Drosophila melanogaster: one gene and its partner. The protein of the gene in region 2 purifies or fractionates together with the protein of the main gene of each other region. This does not show direct contact. Each region holds a gene or a part of one and is shown on either strand. Other genes may lie near its edges.

Evidence for each region. The genes of interacting proteins can lie anywhere in the genome.
Region 1: the proteins of CG8677 (region 2) and E(Pc) purify together in Drosophila melanogaster (affinity purification with western blotting, with the first as the bait; one study listed by BioGRID). This does not show direct contact.

What each region holds. Positions count from the first base shown.
Region 1 is NT_033778.4:11,448,013-11,456,538, reverse strand, and holds the start of E(Pc) (enhancer of polycomb), read right to left. Parts: upstream 4,351-8,526; 5' UTR 4,156-4,350; intron 3,771-4,155; exon of another isoform or gene 3,654-3,770; intron 3,147-3,653; 5' UTR 2,223-3,146; coding exon 2,070-2,222; intron 2,006-2,069; coding exon 1,870-2,005; intron 1,715-1,869; coding exon 1,476-1,714; intron 1,407-1,475; coding exon 1,252-1,406; intron 952-1,251; coding exon 784-951; coding exon of another isoform or gene 749-783; intron 720-748; coding exon 538-719; intron 173-537; coding exon 1-172.
Region 2 is NT_033779.5:21,219,644-21,227,990, reverse strand, and holds the start of CG8677 (uncharacterized protein), read right to left. Parts: upstream 6,680-8,347; 5' UTR 6,440-6,679; coding exon 6,205-6,439; intron 5,556-6,204; coding exon 5,374-5,555; intron 5,314-5,373; coding exon 4,864-5,313; intron 4,800-4,863; coding exon 1,569-4,799; intron 1,362-1,568; coding exon 1-1,361. Other genes in the region: Atg18b (Autophagy-related 18b), read left to right, coding at 7,694-7,731.

The sequences.
Region 1 (8,526 bases), on a different chromosome or scaffold from region 2:
GCGGGCGAGACTCCGGCGCCACCAGACGCCGGCAAATACTGTTGTTGCTGGTGCTGCTGCGTTTGCTGCTGCTGGTGCTGCTGCTTGTCGCGGGGCAATTTGTGCTTGCGCTTCTTGTATGGACGCTTCTCCTTGCGACTGCTGTTTCCATTCCCACTGCCACTGATGGCATCTAGAAGAGCAATTGAAAATTCGGTTAAACAGTGTGTGACAAAAATAATTTTTTCTAGAGATGGCTTTAAGATTTAGGAAAGAGGTGGACAAACAAGCTAAACAAAATATTTTATATTTAAATTAAGAAAAGGAAGATAACACGATATATTAAGAAAAACTAACACGATGTATATGAAATTAAAAAACAATGATTATCTATTTTTAAAAGGCATATTAATACCAAAATGGCCAAATAAGTTAGTCAAGCGGACATTGTTAATTATTCCACGACAATTTCATTTCTGACTGTATATTCCCTGAGCGATTTAAAGCAGTGTGATTAGGACATCTGCAATTAAATACTAGATGTAATCCCACCCTTACCCATTGTCAGATTCGACGAGTTCAGGTACTGGGACGCTGAGCCGAAGACATTTGCATTGCCTGCCGCTCCAGCACCGCCCGGCAGCAGACCCGTGGGCAGGGCGGCTAGAATGGCACCAGCCGTTCCCACCGCCGCCGCCCCTTGTGAGTATTGATTCGTATACAATGGATTATACGCGGGTCTGCAAATAAACAAGGAGTATTTCAGTACCTTTCTTCATAAGTAAAAGGTGTCCGAAAACGCACCTTGTGTTCTTGTACTGAGAATTCAGCTCGGAGTAGACAGCACCGTTGAAGTCGCGCATCTCAACGCGCTTCTCGAAGATGTTCACCGTCATCTTGAGATGATCGCGCTTCGTCTCCTCGCGTCGCCTCACCATCTCCAGTATAGTGGTGGCGCGCTGCAGGTCACGTCTAGAGGACAGGGAAAGAGTGGATTAGTTAGGGTCAGGTATGAAAAGCTGGGCAATAAAATATGCTGGCTAACGAAAACTACCTGGCTTTTTATAAACAAAATGTTGTATATGGGAAAATTCCTGATTAAGGATATCATGCATAAAAAACCTGCATTTAAATCGGGCAGGAATTGAATTTATATGATACAGAGAAAGAAAATGTTTGCAAGTTCTGTGTCCAGTAATTGCAGTGTAGCCCGATTAGCCAGCATTTAAAAATTTCTCAACCGACTTTAGGCAAACTTCACTCGATTCTTACCGCAGCTTGAGCATCTTTTCGTAGGAGGCCTCATCGTTCTTTCGATTTTTGCGGGTTTGCATTTTCTCGGTGCGACGACGAAAAGCCAAGTACGGATTGTTGGAGCTGGCGCCTGGTCGACTCTCAGTTTTCACAGTGAGGATCAGCGGGTGTTGCTAGAGAATGAATAAGATAGTTGATTTAGTATATTGCCGTAGCCAATAGCCAAGCTAAGTGTTTATTACCATCTTGAGGCGTTTGTTCAGCCAGTAATCGTAGACGGATATGCTGGTCTCGTCGTCCTGGTTAAGCAGCGACTTGGCCTCGTTCAGCGTGACCACCGTTTGGCCGGAGCTCTTTTCTAGCCGGTCCATCATCTGCTCGAACTTGAGTTCGGTAAGCTCCAGGCGCTGCTGCTGACTGAGCCAGTCCTCATCGGCACTGTCCATGTCGTAGTCAGGGACCTCGGTATCCAGCCCAAGAGCTGAGAGTTAAACAATTGTAAAAAATTAGTCCAAGAATAATACGAAACTACATAAGTTATTGCATTTCATTCAATATTGATATGGAATTTAAAAATAATGTTCTAAGCCCGAAACGAAACGAATTATTCTGCTCTAGTAGTTGCTTTTTGCTTACGTTGCATGTGGATCATTTGGCGGGGCATTTTGTAGTCCGGCGGATAGTAGGCATCGTAGAAGGGCTGATCCGTCTGCAGCACCTCGGGCGTGGGGATGATCAGACCCGTGCATATCGCTCGCTGCAAGTGGTGCTCCTACAAGGGATAAGGGACAAAATTAGTTTCATCCAAAATAAAGGATCACTGAGAAACTTCCTACCGACTCCTCCTCCTTCTCCATGCCACTGGGCATTTGAGGCACTGCCCGGTTGATGGCTGAGTACTCGGGGAGGTCGGGCAGCTCCTCCGCCAAGTAGATGGGCATCTGCTTGGACGGATCCAAATGGCGGGCTCTGAACGACAGCTTGGACATCTTGCTGGCTTTTGTTTGGGTTTTGGTTGTGGGTGGTTTTGGGTTGGGTTGTTGTGGTGTGTGGAACGTTTCTATTTGCTGTTGCTGTGGCTGATTTGAGAGTTTGCCTAGTGGAATCGACTGCTTAGGTGGCTATGGATGCTAAGGAGGCTACGATTGCTCCGGCGGTCCAACTGCAGTGGGCAGGACTAGTGCTGCAACTGCTAATTTGGATTCTGGAGGATCTACTCCGATTCGTGGTCGGCGTTGTGTTGGCTCCTCTACTCGATGTCGAGGGGGCTGTATACGTTAGCTGGAGATGGGGCTTGCTGGGGTAGAAAAGGTGCTGCTGCTTCTGATCCTGTTCCTGTTCCTGACACCGATCCCGATCGTGAGCACCGGGGCTGCGGTGGCTGTGGCTGCTCTGCCAGCTGGTTAACGCAGCCCCTGTGCCCGTTGCCCTGGCCGAAGACGTAGTGCTACTGCTAGTGAGGATTGGGTGTGGATTGGCGACTATGTAGGGCGTGTCCTCCTCCTCCCCCTGGACACTCTCCCGGCGGTCCGCCTGCCGCTCGTCCTCCTCCTCCGCCTCCCTCTCCTGTCGTCCTCCTTGATCCTCGGGAGCTCTGGCTGACAGCGCCGACAGCAGGACAATGGCCAAGGAAACGATCTGGTGGCAATTACGACGACAACGCAGTGGTAGCAACAACAGTGACAGTGAATGCAGCAAATGTGTCGACGACATTTTTCACGTTGAAATCGAAGGTTCTGTGTGAATTGGCATAATTACGTTCATCAAATTTGCACATTTCAGTTCATCATCGTTTTAGGTTAAATCAATATTGTGTTCTTCTTTCTTTTGCTTATTTGTTGACTTCCTCTTCTTGTTATTATTTATTATTATTTCGCCTTGGCTGTCGTGTTATCGGTTGGCTGATAAAAAATCTAGAATTGATAACAACAACAAAAACTAGTAAGTAAACAACTCTCACACACACGCATACATTGATATGTGAGGGCGGCGCGCGCGGGAAAAAACTCACAAATCCACATACATTTGTATATTTCTTTGCTTTTGCATTAAATTAATATTAACACGCACAAAAACACGATCCGCATGAGTCATGATTTTTTTTTTTTATTTAAATGCGATAAAATGCAAAATCATAGAAAGCCGAGACGAAGAAAAAGGCGGCATAAACAAACACACGCGCGCAAACACACATCTCAAACAAACGCGGCGAATTTAATACTGCCTTTTCCGCGAGATATTTCACTTTGCAGAGCCCTGTTAGCTAACATTTTGTTTGTACAGAACTCTGTTAAGTGAGAAAAAAAAACGCAATCAAACTCCGCCTCATGTGGGTTTTGTTTTTTGCTTTTATCTAGTTAATTAGTAATCAGCCATCGAGTGCGTATGTTTTTCTGGGCCAGCGCTAATTTTTTACACACTTTACCGCACTTTTCATGCATCAGCGAACGCAATCTGGTTGATAAATCGCCCGAAAAATTTACACATATAAACCCGATTTTGCGTATAGCGTGGTTTCGCTGGAAAGCAATAATGGCGGCCAGAGAGCCGAACACCGACGACGCCGCGGACAGCGGGGCCGCGATTTATTTGTGCCGTCGGCGGCGATAACGATAAGCGGTCGTCGATTTAATTGCCGCAATTTCACTGCAGGGCCCTGTCATATATGGGCAAAAATTAAATATTTACTGCTAGAATTTTTAAATTGCTCTAACATGACGTTTTCCTTTCAAAATATATATTTCAAAACCGCTACGGTTATCGATTAATCGCCGTTGGCAGCGCTAAATAGCCGGCCTCTTATTCCGATGACACTCCGAACAGTTTGTCAGCGCCCCCTGGCGAGCTCTTCGAGCACTATGCCCAACGCTGCATGATTTTTTTTTCACAAACAAAAAAATCGATTAAGATTTTTTCACGCACTTTTTTCACACTCTTTGCCGGGCGTTGGGGCCTCTTATATGATTAAATGATGTGGTTTTCAGCGTATTTACCACTGCCGCACCGTTTACAGCTAAATTCAAGCAATTGGCTTAGCGCAAACGCGTATAATCGTTCTTCAGCAGCGGGACACGTTTTTACTTATGGGCGGCCATTACGAATGAAAATTCGGAGTTGTCGGAGTCGAACGAAATCGTCGCCACAGTGGCGAAATTATTTTGGCTAGGCCTCCAGGCGAAATAGTTAACCGTTTTGAGTGCGGTTTTCATCTAAATCTGTGGAATTTTGTGAGGGGTCGCATGCATACATTTGGATAGCCGGGGCCAAGCTGCATTTATTTATTTTGTTGTTAATTTACGCAGCCCCATTCACCAGGTGCCCAGCTAGTGGTGTGCAAATAATTCGGAGTGCTCATGCGCTAGTGCATTTCGTGCGAGCTATCGGAAACACTCACAATTGCGGCATCGGCAAAGATGTGCTAACGCATGGGCTTTAACATTCGAAATTTATAAAAAATTGTTAATTCAAATTTGTATTTACAACTTGTTTGCTGAACAGTCGACATTATAGATATAGTTATTAAATGAGTAAAACAATTTTTGTTTTATTTTGTGTGCTGGATAGCTTAGAATTTTATTTGGATTCTTTAAATTAAACTTGTGCATACAGCATACAAATAATAATAACTCCACTTTGTAACTTCCTTTAAATGCTTTTGTTTTATTATAATCTCTTACAAGGCTTTTCGTACTCGCTGTTTTGCTTAACTTTGTTTATTTGCTGGTTACAATGTCTTGATAGTTTCAAATGTGCTCGTTGACTTAAAGTTTGCTCAATTTATATTCGAGAATACGATTAAAATTTACTCGCTAGTCCTTAACAATTTGTGGGGGTAATGCTGATTTGGCCAAGCGATTTTGAATGGTAACTTATGTCGGGCATTTGTCCAGCAAAGCGAGTTGGAAGCACCTGCTTAGTAAAAAGAAAGCCTCAAAGCCTTATGCTTGAAAAGCCCCAAGCAGAAGAAGCTCGATTTGCCAAAATCCCGCGCCGATCCTCCAACGTTATTTCAGCTGCTTTCGTATCCTTAGTTCTTTGGCTTCTCATTCGGTTCGTTCGATCGTATTATGTAATCATTTTTGGGCAATGGCCGCACGGACGTTCACAATTACAGTTGGGGCGGCGACCGCCTGTGGCCATTAGCGATTTATATTGGGTAATACTCGCCGGTGACAGGCGGCGCCCGATATTTTCATCTCTACCCTCGACGTTTCAGATGCTCGGCAATGCACGCGCGCCTGCCGCCCACAAAGTGCAGGAATTCATTTTCGGTGAAAATAAATACACAAATAAAATAGTATTTGGTGGCACTTGTGGAGCGGCTGTCGCGGCATTGCGACCACTGTGGCATGGATTGCGATGGCGTACATGATGAAAAATATAGTCAGACAGTGGTGTCGTATGTGAAAAAGCACCATTTTCGTGGGTGGCTGTGGGTGGTGGGCGTGGCGCAGCTGCGAGAGAGCGAAGGCATATCTCTCTGTCGCGGCTGCGCAACCGTGTTGGTGGTTGAAGAGAGTGGCGTGCGCAGGGAGAGGGCTCTTCTTCTTCAGCATATTACAGAATTAAATGAAAATAAGAAAATATTTTCAAGCCCCTTTGAGAGAATCCTGCGTACGCCACTGGTGGAATTTGTGGCGCGTGCGCCACTTGGTGTGGTGAGTTGGGGTGAGTGGGTGAAATGGCGAATTGAGGTGAGTGGCGGGAAGCACTATTTAGATGTGTGCGTGGTGAGCTGAGGTGTAAAGTCAATTTAAAATCTGAATTATCTGCTATTTTCATGATGGATAATCGAAACCGAAAACTAAACCATAACTCAAATTAAAACATAAAATCGACTGCTGATTCTTCTAGAGAGTTGGTTCTGTGGGCTTTTTGTGTCTCTTTGGTTTTTCTCATTTCCTTGCAATATTCATCAACCAATACCAATAATCCATTATGTTAGCATTCCGCTATATTGGTAAGATCTTTGATATTAATTTAGTGCTTTTTGTATTGTGAGGAATCTATGGATGTGAAGCTAAGGCCCAGCATTATCGGGCTGTTCAAACGGATTTAATATTATTCTTCAAAAACGCGCCTACAAGTAGTAAAAATTCACCATTGGTTTATAGTATATTCATGAGTCGTTTGTTGTGTGTTTCTCTAAGTGCATAGCTAATTTTGTAACTGTATCGTCTTTTCTGTATATTTTTCGCTAACATTCAGTGAGTGTATCTGTGATTGTGTGTACTCTTATAGATTTGTTTAGTATATGCTACAGGTGTGGCTCTAGTGAAAGAGTTCTATGTGGTTTCTGTTTTGGAAGAAAGTTAGTAAAAAGATTCTTAAGATCAAAGTTAGTTGTTATAAGAGTAAAATATAATTGAACAGATAGAAAGATATACAGAGAGATAGAGGAGATACAGAGAAAGAGAAATAGAGAGTATGTTGGCGCTGAGATAGATAGATGTTGGAACTACAAAAAGTACTAAATTAAAATATGTTATTTTTGCACTACAAAATTCGTGTGTGTTTCTTTTAAGTTCATTGCCTTTTTCGATTTATGTTTTTGTTTAAACTTTCGAACGCATTAACCGTCAATCAATCAATCAAATACTGGTTATAAGAATATTGTCAACATTCACAAACCAAAATCGTTAAGATATTTGTGATTAAAATATATATGTTTATTTGTAATCGAACAAACCAACATACCAGGAAATCAAGAAATAATACAAATAAAACGAAAAACGTTTGGTGTTAACATTGCATAGGGAATTTCGCTAAGTGTTTTGGGATTTTTTCTGGAGCGGGAGGGAGGCAGGAGGGTGCTGGATCGGGGAAGGAGTGAAAGTGTGTTTGTGAACCACCAAGATAGGCCGGCTAAAATCCGGTATCCCATCCATCTACGAGCGAGGCAAGATCGAACTAAGAAAACGGTGCGCAACTGTACTTGACTTTTGTAATTTTTGTATATTTTTTTTCTTGGCTTGTGACTTACCTGTGCCCAAGCAACGAAATTAGTTCTCATGCTTCCCTGTTGGACGGATACGGATTTTCTATTGATTTCTTTAGTTAGTTTTTGTAAGCATTTTTAAACTAAAGCCAAGTCTAGGTTAAGTTTTGTACAAATGCGTGGGCAAAAGTGCACGATTGTTGAAAAGTTGGTTAAGTGAGTAGCAAGTAGATAAAGCAAATTTAAGCTAAAAAGTAACAGCAACGGTTGAGAGTAAATTTTGCTAGAAATGTACGTATGGTAAAAATGGTTGTTTATTAGCCAATCTTCAATTATACAAATGAAAAGGTTTACGCTTAGAATACAAAACTTTAAGTCGAATACTCTAGTCGAGATGATAATCATAACTATTCATTCATAATATTAAGTCAAATTCCAAAAATTTAAATAATAAACTATATAAGCTATAATTCCGATTCGATTCGTTTTAAAACTATCACTAGCATGAATGAGAATTGATTCAATTTCAATTTCATAATGAGGGATACGGGTTCTTTACGGATCTAGGGCTCGGGATCGGAATTGGGAACTGGGTCTTCTACTTACAATCTAATTATCACTTGTTAACATAAACCAAAGGGACCAGGGTGATTGGTACTTTATACAGTTAGGTGCTGGTGGCAGGTTCTACTCTAAGATCGATAGGTCACCAAAGTTCGGTCTCATTGTTGCTTCGGTACGTGATATGATGCGTGGGATTTTAGTTAGTTTTGGGGTCCAAGCGAGAACCGAGAGTACAGCTTAATGGCTAAGATCTAGGATACAGAGTATTAACAACAAAGTAACGTTTATGCATTATGGAGTTTTCCTCCGACTTTGGAATAAACAAGATGAGCAAATGTTCCACTTGGTAACTGCAATACTTTTGGGATGATCTTTGATGTTTTTGGGTCTGGCTATATACACAATGTGTCTGGGGTCGAGTTATTCCAAGTTTACATATGATTTAGACAAATGTTCAAAGTAAGTCTATAAACGAATTAAAGTTTGAATCGATTACTGACGTTGGTTTTTGGTTTATCCCTCTGGTCGGGGCATTTACAAATGTAAGTAACAACGAAATCAAAATGTAATAACCACTACGATTCCTACTTAAGCGCTACATGCTTCAGCTTTAGCATCAACAACATGCAATTCAAATACCGAATACGAGTACTGTGATTCGATTCGGATTCGACTTCAATGCGATTCGATTAAACTCGCATCTCAAGAACTCTGTGCATCCCAAGCTCGCTTAGGGTGTGTTTACTGTGTGTGATAGAGAAATAGAGAAAGCCTTCTGTCTTTGGAAGCTT
Region 2 (8,347 bases):
GACGAATTCGACTTCTTTGCGGCCACCGTCTTTTTCTTTTTGGAAGAAGGATTCCAGGCACCATCCTCGCTCTCAGAAGTGGTGTCGTCACACAAATCGGCGCTGTCCACGTTATCGGACAACTCATTATCATCGTCATCTTCCGTTTCCGTTTCTGTATAGTCAGAATCGTCTTTCTTCTTTTTTGACTTTGTAGTCCGTCTCTTCTGATCTTCATCTTCGCTTTCGTCACTCTCTTCAACCACAAACTTTCTATCCTTGCGCCTTTCACGTGCCGCTCTCCTGGCTGCCTTTCTTTGCTTTTTTCCTCGACCGGGTCGCCTGTATGCCTCCAAGCTTGAGTCTGAGTCTCCGGATGCGGACTGTGAAGTATCTTCATCCGAGTAACTGGACGTTTTAAAGTCCTCATCGCTTCCATGATCTTCTTCGCTGCTAACGTCCAGGGTGGTCAGTTTTCGAGCCTTCTTTTTGGCAGGAGGTTGTTTAAACTTGTTACTACGTTTGAGAGGTACTTCGTCTTCTGACGACGACGGACTACTGCCGCTAGATTTTGACTTTTGTTTATCCTTCTCACCGTCTTCCTTATTCCCCACTTCATCCTCCGTAGGCAGATCATCACGTCGTGCCTTTTCCTTATCCGCCTCAATAATGGTGGATATGTCTTTGCCGCGGCCCAGATTTCCTGCTCCGGCAACCTCATCCATCTCCTTTTTTAAAGCAGAATTGATAAGGTCGTCATACTCGTTAAGCCGATAGCTCACGTTGATTTGCCGCCGCTTGCGCAACTTGTATATGGGTTCATCATCCGAGTCAGAAAAGCTAGTGCTATTGTCGCTACTTGAGTCAGATCCAGATCCGGATCTAGAGCCACTGCCTAAGGATTTGCGGTGGCTGGAGTCAGATTCGTTTCCACGACGGCGCCTGGTGCCTCGCTTGGCAGCTCTCCTATTAATGCGTCCATCTCCGCGACGCCGCTTTACCTTTTCAGCCTTGCCGACTGCCATATCATCCCTATCGTCTTCGTCCTCTTCCTTTTCGCTCTTGAAGTTTTCGTCCTTCGCCGCCAGCGTGGCCGCCTCTAGCTCCTGACGCTCTCGCTCGGCTTGCTCTTCAGCCAAGATCCGCTCCTGTTGCTTTTGAGCTACCAATGTGTCGTATTGCTCCAGCTGTCTCTCCAGGGCAGCTATGAGCTGCTCCTGCTGACAAGGAGGGCAGTGCCAATCGCCCTCAGGAATGTAGAAGAGCACTGGTGAAAGGCAGGAGCAGTGGTATCCTTTGTTACAGGTAGGCGTGTCGCAGAGCAAAATCCACTCCGGATGGTCAGACTTGCCGCATTTCTGACAAGCTTCCTCCGCATCCTCCTGTAAAATAAATCAGCATGAATGTTACTGCATAGTGATTTTAGTGACCACTTAAGATATAAAACACATTCTGGATTATAACGGGTACAATAACAATGCAAGGAATAACTCAAGAAATAGTTTCTTCTATTTTGAATAGACATTCAGAACGGGAAAGCTAACAAAATCAATTTTGTATGCTTTCTAATTAACATTTTTAATATTTACCTCCTCTAGGTCATCGGCGTTCTCCTTCCGTACGGTGCGCGCCCTTTTCATTGGCACCACTTGAGACTCATCTTCAAGCTCCGATTCTGGTGAAAATTCGTGATCGGACCGGAAGAGTGGCGAACCAGGATCCGTTTCATAGTGCGGTGGCTCCTCCTCCTCCTCCTCACTTTCTGGCTGTTCTTCTGAATCGGAAGACCAGCCATCCTTGCCAGGACACTTTTTTTTCTTCTTATTACGTGCCTCCTCCTCCGCCTCGCTGGCCTCGGATTCTGATTCTTCTCCTGATGGTTCTAGCACAGTAGGATCTGCTTCCTTCTCGGCTTTTTTCTTTTTCTTAAGCTCCTGTTTCATGGTACGTAGAGCAACCTCCTCTTGCTTTCGCCTTTCAGCTTCCTCTTTGATCTTCTGCTGGGCAATGCGCCTAGATTGGCGCACAGGTGTCTCCGAGTCGTTGGTCTCAATGATATTGGTAGTATCCACCTCACGCTTCTTTCTCGGCCCACGTCCACGACCCACCTTTGGCTTTGGCTCCTCGTTGGGCTCTTCCTTGATGGGTTTCTCCTCAGGTTTCTTTCTATTTTCTGGGCTTTCTGGGGCTGGATCGTCTTTAGCTTCAGATTTTATTTTGGTTGAAATTTTCTCATCATCTTCGGATTCCTGCTTCAGCTCAGCATTGACCTCTGGCTGCATTTTATCCCTGGCCCCACCTCGAGTCCTTTTTGGCTGAGGAAGCTCAGAGTGAATGACAGCAGGTCCACCTCTGCGACCAGAACGACGGGCAGATCCCTCCGGTACAGGCGATTGGTCTTTAGCTGAACGTAATGAATCCTTGACAGACATTGCAAGTGGGTCCTCGACTTCCTCCTGTATGTCCTGCTCGTTATTGCGCTTCAACTTCTCGCTTACGGCTGACGGAGGCACTTCAGTAGGGGAGGATTCCTTCGAAAACGCCTCATTTGCATCCTCACTGCTACGACGCTTGCGATGACGCTCGTCCGGTTGACAAAGTACATTAGATGCTGGAATTGCAGGCACGAGGGTCTCACTGTTTGTTCGTTTTCTTGGTATGGTCTCTTCTTCACTCTCCTCCTGTCGTAGTTGTGTCAGGAGATTTTTCTTTAGGGGCTTGGTTATCGGTGTTTTTTTTTGCGGACTTAAGGAGATGATGGGCGGTGTAGCTTCTCTAGTTTTCTGCATCAGTTGCGTTGGCATCTCCATTACTTTTTCAGTTGTCTTTTCCGGCAAATCCATCTCTATACTTTTCTTTAACTTTCTTTCAATAATTTCCTCCAGAGTGGGCTTGGTTTTAGTGTGAGGAGCTATACACTTGCGGCGAATACGCGCATCGTCTTCTCCGCTGGACGAAGTAGTTTCTTCTATCTGCGTTTTTTGAGCCTCCACCTTTCGCCTGGACTCCGCGTTAGTGGTCTTCGGTCTCATTTTAATGCGCTTGCCGCCCACATCTAGATCGTCCAGGGTAGGATCGTCATCTTGCGGTTCCTCTTCGTGCACTTCGCTTTCGGAGGTGGAGTTTCGTAGAGCGGACTGAGAGTCATTAAGACGCCGCTTGCGATTTAATAACGTAGATGTCTTAGATATTTCTTCAACAGCACCACTCGTCCTTGACTTACCGTCAACCTCTCCGGATTTTCCATTGTCTTCGAAAAGTAAGTTTTGGGATGTACTTGGTTCTATGGTTTGAACTTTTTCCGAAATCCTATGTTCTGCAGATGGCGAAATATTGATTTCAAGACATGTTGTATTCGTTTCGCTTTTTGAAATATCTTTAGGTGGATCATCTTGAAGCAAGGTTTTAATAACCCCTTCTGCCTTATCAATTTTATTTATAATAATACCTTTATCATTGGTTTTTCCTGCATAAGGGTCAATCAAACATTTCGATTTTGCTGTTTCATCTTCCCCATCCGTTGGAGAAGATTCAGATACTGATTCCTTAGCGCTCGTTGCCGTTTCCTGTTCTGATTTCATTTTGGAATCATGTTGGTTAGGTACAGGGCTTTCTGTTTCACACGAAAGTTTCTCATCACATGCAGTGTCCAAGGCATTTGTCGAAATTTGCTGATGATTTATTACCAGTTTATCCTCAACTGTACCGCTTTCCAGGACGCATTTTTCTGTTACTGGTTTCTTTGTATTGTTCAGATCAGCTGGAACTTTATGCTGATCCTGAGTCTGAATAGAGGAGTTATCACTTTCATTTGAATTATTTTGTAAGACTGAAACTTCTGTCCTATTCCTCACTCCTTCTTCAATTGCCTCACTTTCGGTACGACCTTTAGAGATTTCCTCATTCTTTTCGATCACGCTTATTGTACTATCCTGTATATTCCTTTTAGCCACTGGTACGGATTCCTTTTTTTTTATTTGATCATCTGAGATTTTATTTACGTTAGCTTCTTGGCATATGTTAGTCTCTTCTAATGTAGCTGCACTCGCAGATGCTGTTTCTTCACTATCTCCCAGAGTTTTTGTGAGTTCGCTTCCATTTCGGGGCGGTGTGTTCACTATACACTTTTCGCTTTCACCATTTGTTTTCTCCTCGCTCAAGCTGTCAAAAATGCCCCGTTTTGCCTCTGGTTTTGATGTTTGCTTCATGGGACTTAGCTTGAGACATCCGGGCTCGCCAAAAAAGAACGTCGCTTTTGGTTCCGATGTGCGCGTTGACGTTTCCTCCACGGAAGCTTCGTTTTTACCATTCCCCACGAGACAGTCGGTCCCCCACCCTTGACCAATCACATGGAGCATTGGATCTGCAATGGCTTCCCCGATCTCCAAGTCATCCTCATAATCAAAGTTGCCAATTAAATTATAAGGGATGGCTTCACAGTCAAGTCCTGATCCTTGGCCCTGCACCACTATCGTTGGATCCTCTATAGGCTCTCCAGTATCTTCCTCATCGTCATCTTCCTCGATATCCGCCGCCGCACTATCGACATCTTCCTCTTCCTCACCCTCATCCAATTCAGAATCCTCCTCGTCCTCTTCTTCCTCATCCTCTTCTCCGGACTCTTCTTCGATTTCATCCTTAGTGCTTTCGTAGCGACTTGGCTTTTTGATTCGCTTTGTATCAAGCAGTGTGGGACGGTGCTTCTTCTGCTGTTCCTCCTGGGAGGCTGTGGGGCTGCTGTCTACGTCTTCGATAGAACGTTTTTTGGTTGGGGCCGGCGATGCGCTACTCGAAAGTTTGGCCTGGCTAATGAGCAGTGGCTGAAAGACCGAGAATGAAATCTTATCTAAAAATGCAAAGCTCCTTGGTTAAATCCATACACACCTTAACCTTTTTAGACTTTTGATCCTCTTGCTCGGGAGAGCGGAGTTTAATCTTTAGATTGGGTACAGTTTTTTCGGGCTCATCTCCAACTTCCTCATCGTCCTCTTCTTCTTTCTGTTCGGGGGGCGGTGGTTTGGGATGACAACTGTTGCTGCTGCTGGTGTCCTCATCGGCCTCACCAATGTCCTTCGAAGGAAGTACCACCTCATTTCCGCGCAGCCTTGAAATGAGATTTACAAACTCGTCCCTGTTCGTGGCAACCACCTGCCAAATTTCCTCGTCTAGATGCTCCTGGTAGATCCGCAGATTACAGTGGGCATCCTGAGTCAGCCAGTAGGCATGTCCCAACCGGTCCCTTCCAATTGGCTCAGAGCGTAAAGTATCGGCATTCAAGGTGAGGATGTGGGCCCGAAACTTGGCATTGCGTTCAAACTGACTTTCGAGAAGTTCCTGTACGGGAAAGACGCCCTTTAGAACGGTTTATCAAGTGGTACGAAATTCGTTACTCACCCGAAATATTCGCAGCTTAACCTTCAAGCTGGAATTCCTATAACCGAAACGTTCGATTTCCCAGGCATCTTGCACCGAGTAGCCGAAGCAGAATTTGCTGAGGGCGGACTCCCAACTCTTTTCGTGAACCGTCTTACGGGTCTTACGGAGCAGCTTTATGTGCAAGTCCCTTAGCTCAGGAACTACAAAGATTCGTTATAATTAAATATTAGTAAAAGTTCTGCGAAAAGGAAGAAAGTGACAGCGGAATATAAATGGATTGTGGGTGGATTATGAGGGCAAGTGAAATAAATGCAACCGCGTTTGTTGTAGTGTACACTTTTTGTGTCTGCTGTTGCTCACGCAAATACATACAAAACGTAGAAACTTAGCATGATTATAACTTTTTTAAACAAATATATTTTCAGGTTCCCTCCCACTCGTGACCCTAAATATTTAATATATTTCCAGATGCAGGTGTACATTAAAAAAAAAAAACCAACTTTTAGTGTTCAATTGTAGCTCTCTTACTATCTCTCAAATAAGAAGACCAGAGCAAATGTGGGAAATATTTACGTCTCTCCCAGATTTGTTTTGTATATTGCGCTTGTGTTGAGATGAAAACAAATCGCAGTGCTCTCTCTGCCATTGAGCAATCTCTTTCTCTCTGACGAGCCAAGCACGCTCTCCAGAGCGGAGCATTGTTAAATCTCTGGAGCAGACCTATTCGAAAACACTACATCCGTAGTTTCCACCGCCACTTGCCCCACGATAATTGAACCTGACATAAATTAATTTGGCAAAAAACTGCTTCCACCCCGCTCTCTTGATACCACCACCCCACCCTCTCACCATCGTTGTTGTTTGTCAACCACTCCTGCAGATGCTTGAAGTTGGGCAGGTTAAGACCCAGGTCCTTGCCGAATTTTTGCAGGAAGGCGCAAATGACCGCAAAGTCCGGATCATTGGCGCATGTGTGCAGCGTGGAGGTGAGGGCGTCGTCGTCCTTGCACTCCTCCGATATGGAGTCCGTCGGAAGCGGGATCGGATTGGTGGGCGCCGCAGCCGCAGCTGAGGACGCCGCCATTTTTCATGCGTCCCCGAGAACCAGCGAAAATTTTCGGGTGTTGTATACTACTCTGGCAAAACCTCAAAACGGGCACTGCAAACACGAGTCATTTGTCCAAGGATCAAGTTCTCTGGTCGCACGGCACTGCGAGACTTCGAGGGTGCATATTTCTTGCCGCGAGACAGCTCTTGTACGGGATAAAATCCTATTTTAAAGCAAGCGAAAATGCTTTATTTTCTGTTGTGAGTTTCAGTGTGGCCGCGCAGTCACTTTTCGACAATACTGCAGATTGCACCCATGTAATTGAAGCGAGTTGGCAGTCGATGCACTGGGGAACTAGTTTCTAGTATACTTGGCGTATGCATGAAAACGATTTTTACAAACTACGAATACATTTATAACTTACTCAGATTCGCGTTAAGACAGTTTTATTTTTAAGTTAGCGCTAGACTATGAAATGTGTATTAAATGTTACAAATCTAAAAATTGTTTTACTATTAAATAGGCTATGCAAAATTTATTAAATCGACGAACAATATAGGTTATAATATAAATTAGGAACAAAAGGTATAAAGTTTTAGTGTAGATCAAGTTGAAGTAGGGAAATACATTATGGGAAATACAATTTTGCTAAGACAGAAGAACCTTATAAGAAGCTTAACACGTCCACTGTTTTGTTCCGATTTGATAGAAAATTTGACACAACACTTAGATAATTGTAGATACTTATTGGAAAAAACTATTTTAATGTTTATATAAAAAGAAATGAAACTGACATATACACACTAAATGCACTGTAATTGTGTGAAATATGAGGTAATTTTATGATTTTTCCAATGCAAATATATGCGGATACATGTATATATATTGTCCATTTCAATTTTTAATAACAATTTTACATTTTCCGTTACACAAATGATTTAACGGTATATATGGCATTTGGTGAACACGGCTGGTTCAGTTCCCGAACCCAGTTCCAATGATGATGATTTATGTGTGTGTGTGTTGTGTGTAGGGGGAATTTGTTGATAGATAGAACGAGAAAAACAGTCGCAGCAAAACAACAAAGACGACGCAAAACAGTCGAATTTAGTTTTCAATATCAAGTGAAATCATTTCGCTTTGCTCATCTGCCATCGTCGATCAATATCTTGTGTACTCAAACGACGGGACTCTGCAACTGAATATCGCTGAAAAAAAGCATCTAAAGACCAGTGAAAGTGTAACTATATAAAAAAAATACAATCACCAAAGCACAAATCTTCAGCAGCAATGACCACATATCAAATGAACTTCAACCAGGACTTTACGTAAGTAGCGACATCTGTGCTTAAATCCTTAAATCCCGGAAGGTCACCAAAGCGAAAAGTGGCAAACAATTGAGACACAAAAATCGACAAATGAGACGGGTAAATAAGGCGAAAACAGCTGCTGTGGGGAAGGTGGACGGGGATCGTTAGTGTGTCTGTGGGTAAGCGTGAATTGGCGTCATTTTTCGTGTCGTGTGTGTGTGTAGTTTATTAGAACATGCAAACAAGCAGTTCCAATTACAATAGCATGCATTCATCTAACATTTTGGAATGCCTTTCCCGTTTCGGGAGGGGGCTGGGAACCGAACTCGGTACACTGTCAGTGGCCAACAAGCGACCGATTTAGCAGTATTTCCATTCTGATGGCCACTGTGCGGGACACCAACACTCGCACAATTGGCGCACAATCAATTGTTTATGCGCAACAGCTGATGACTAAGGAACAAATGAAAGTGCGGAGCGATAAGGATGAAATAAAATGACAAGAAACAAAGGGGGTCAATCTGGCGGGAGCGCACTGTAGCTATCAACGCAGCCTTAATCTCGAGCTTAATTAACCAGTTTCGCTATTGCACGGTACGTTGATGTCATCCAAGAACAGGGTGAGGGAAGAAGT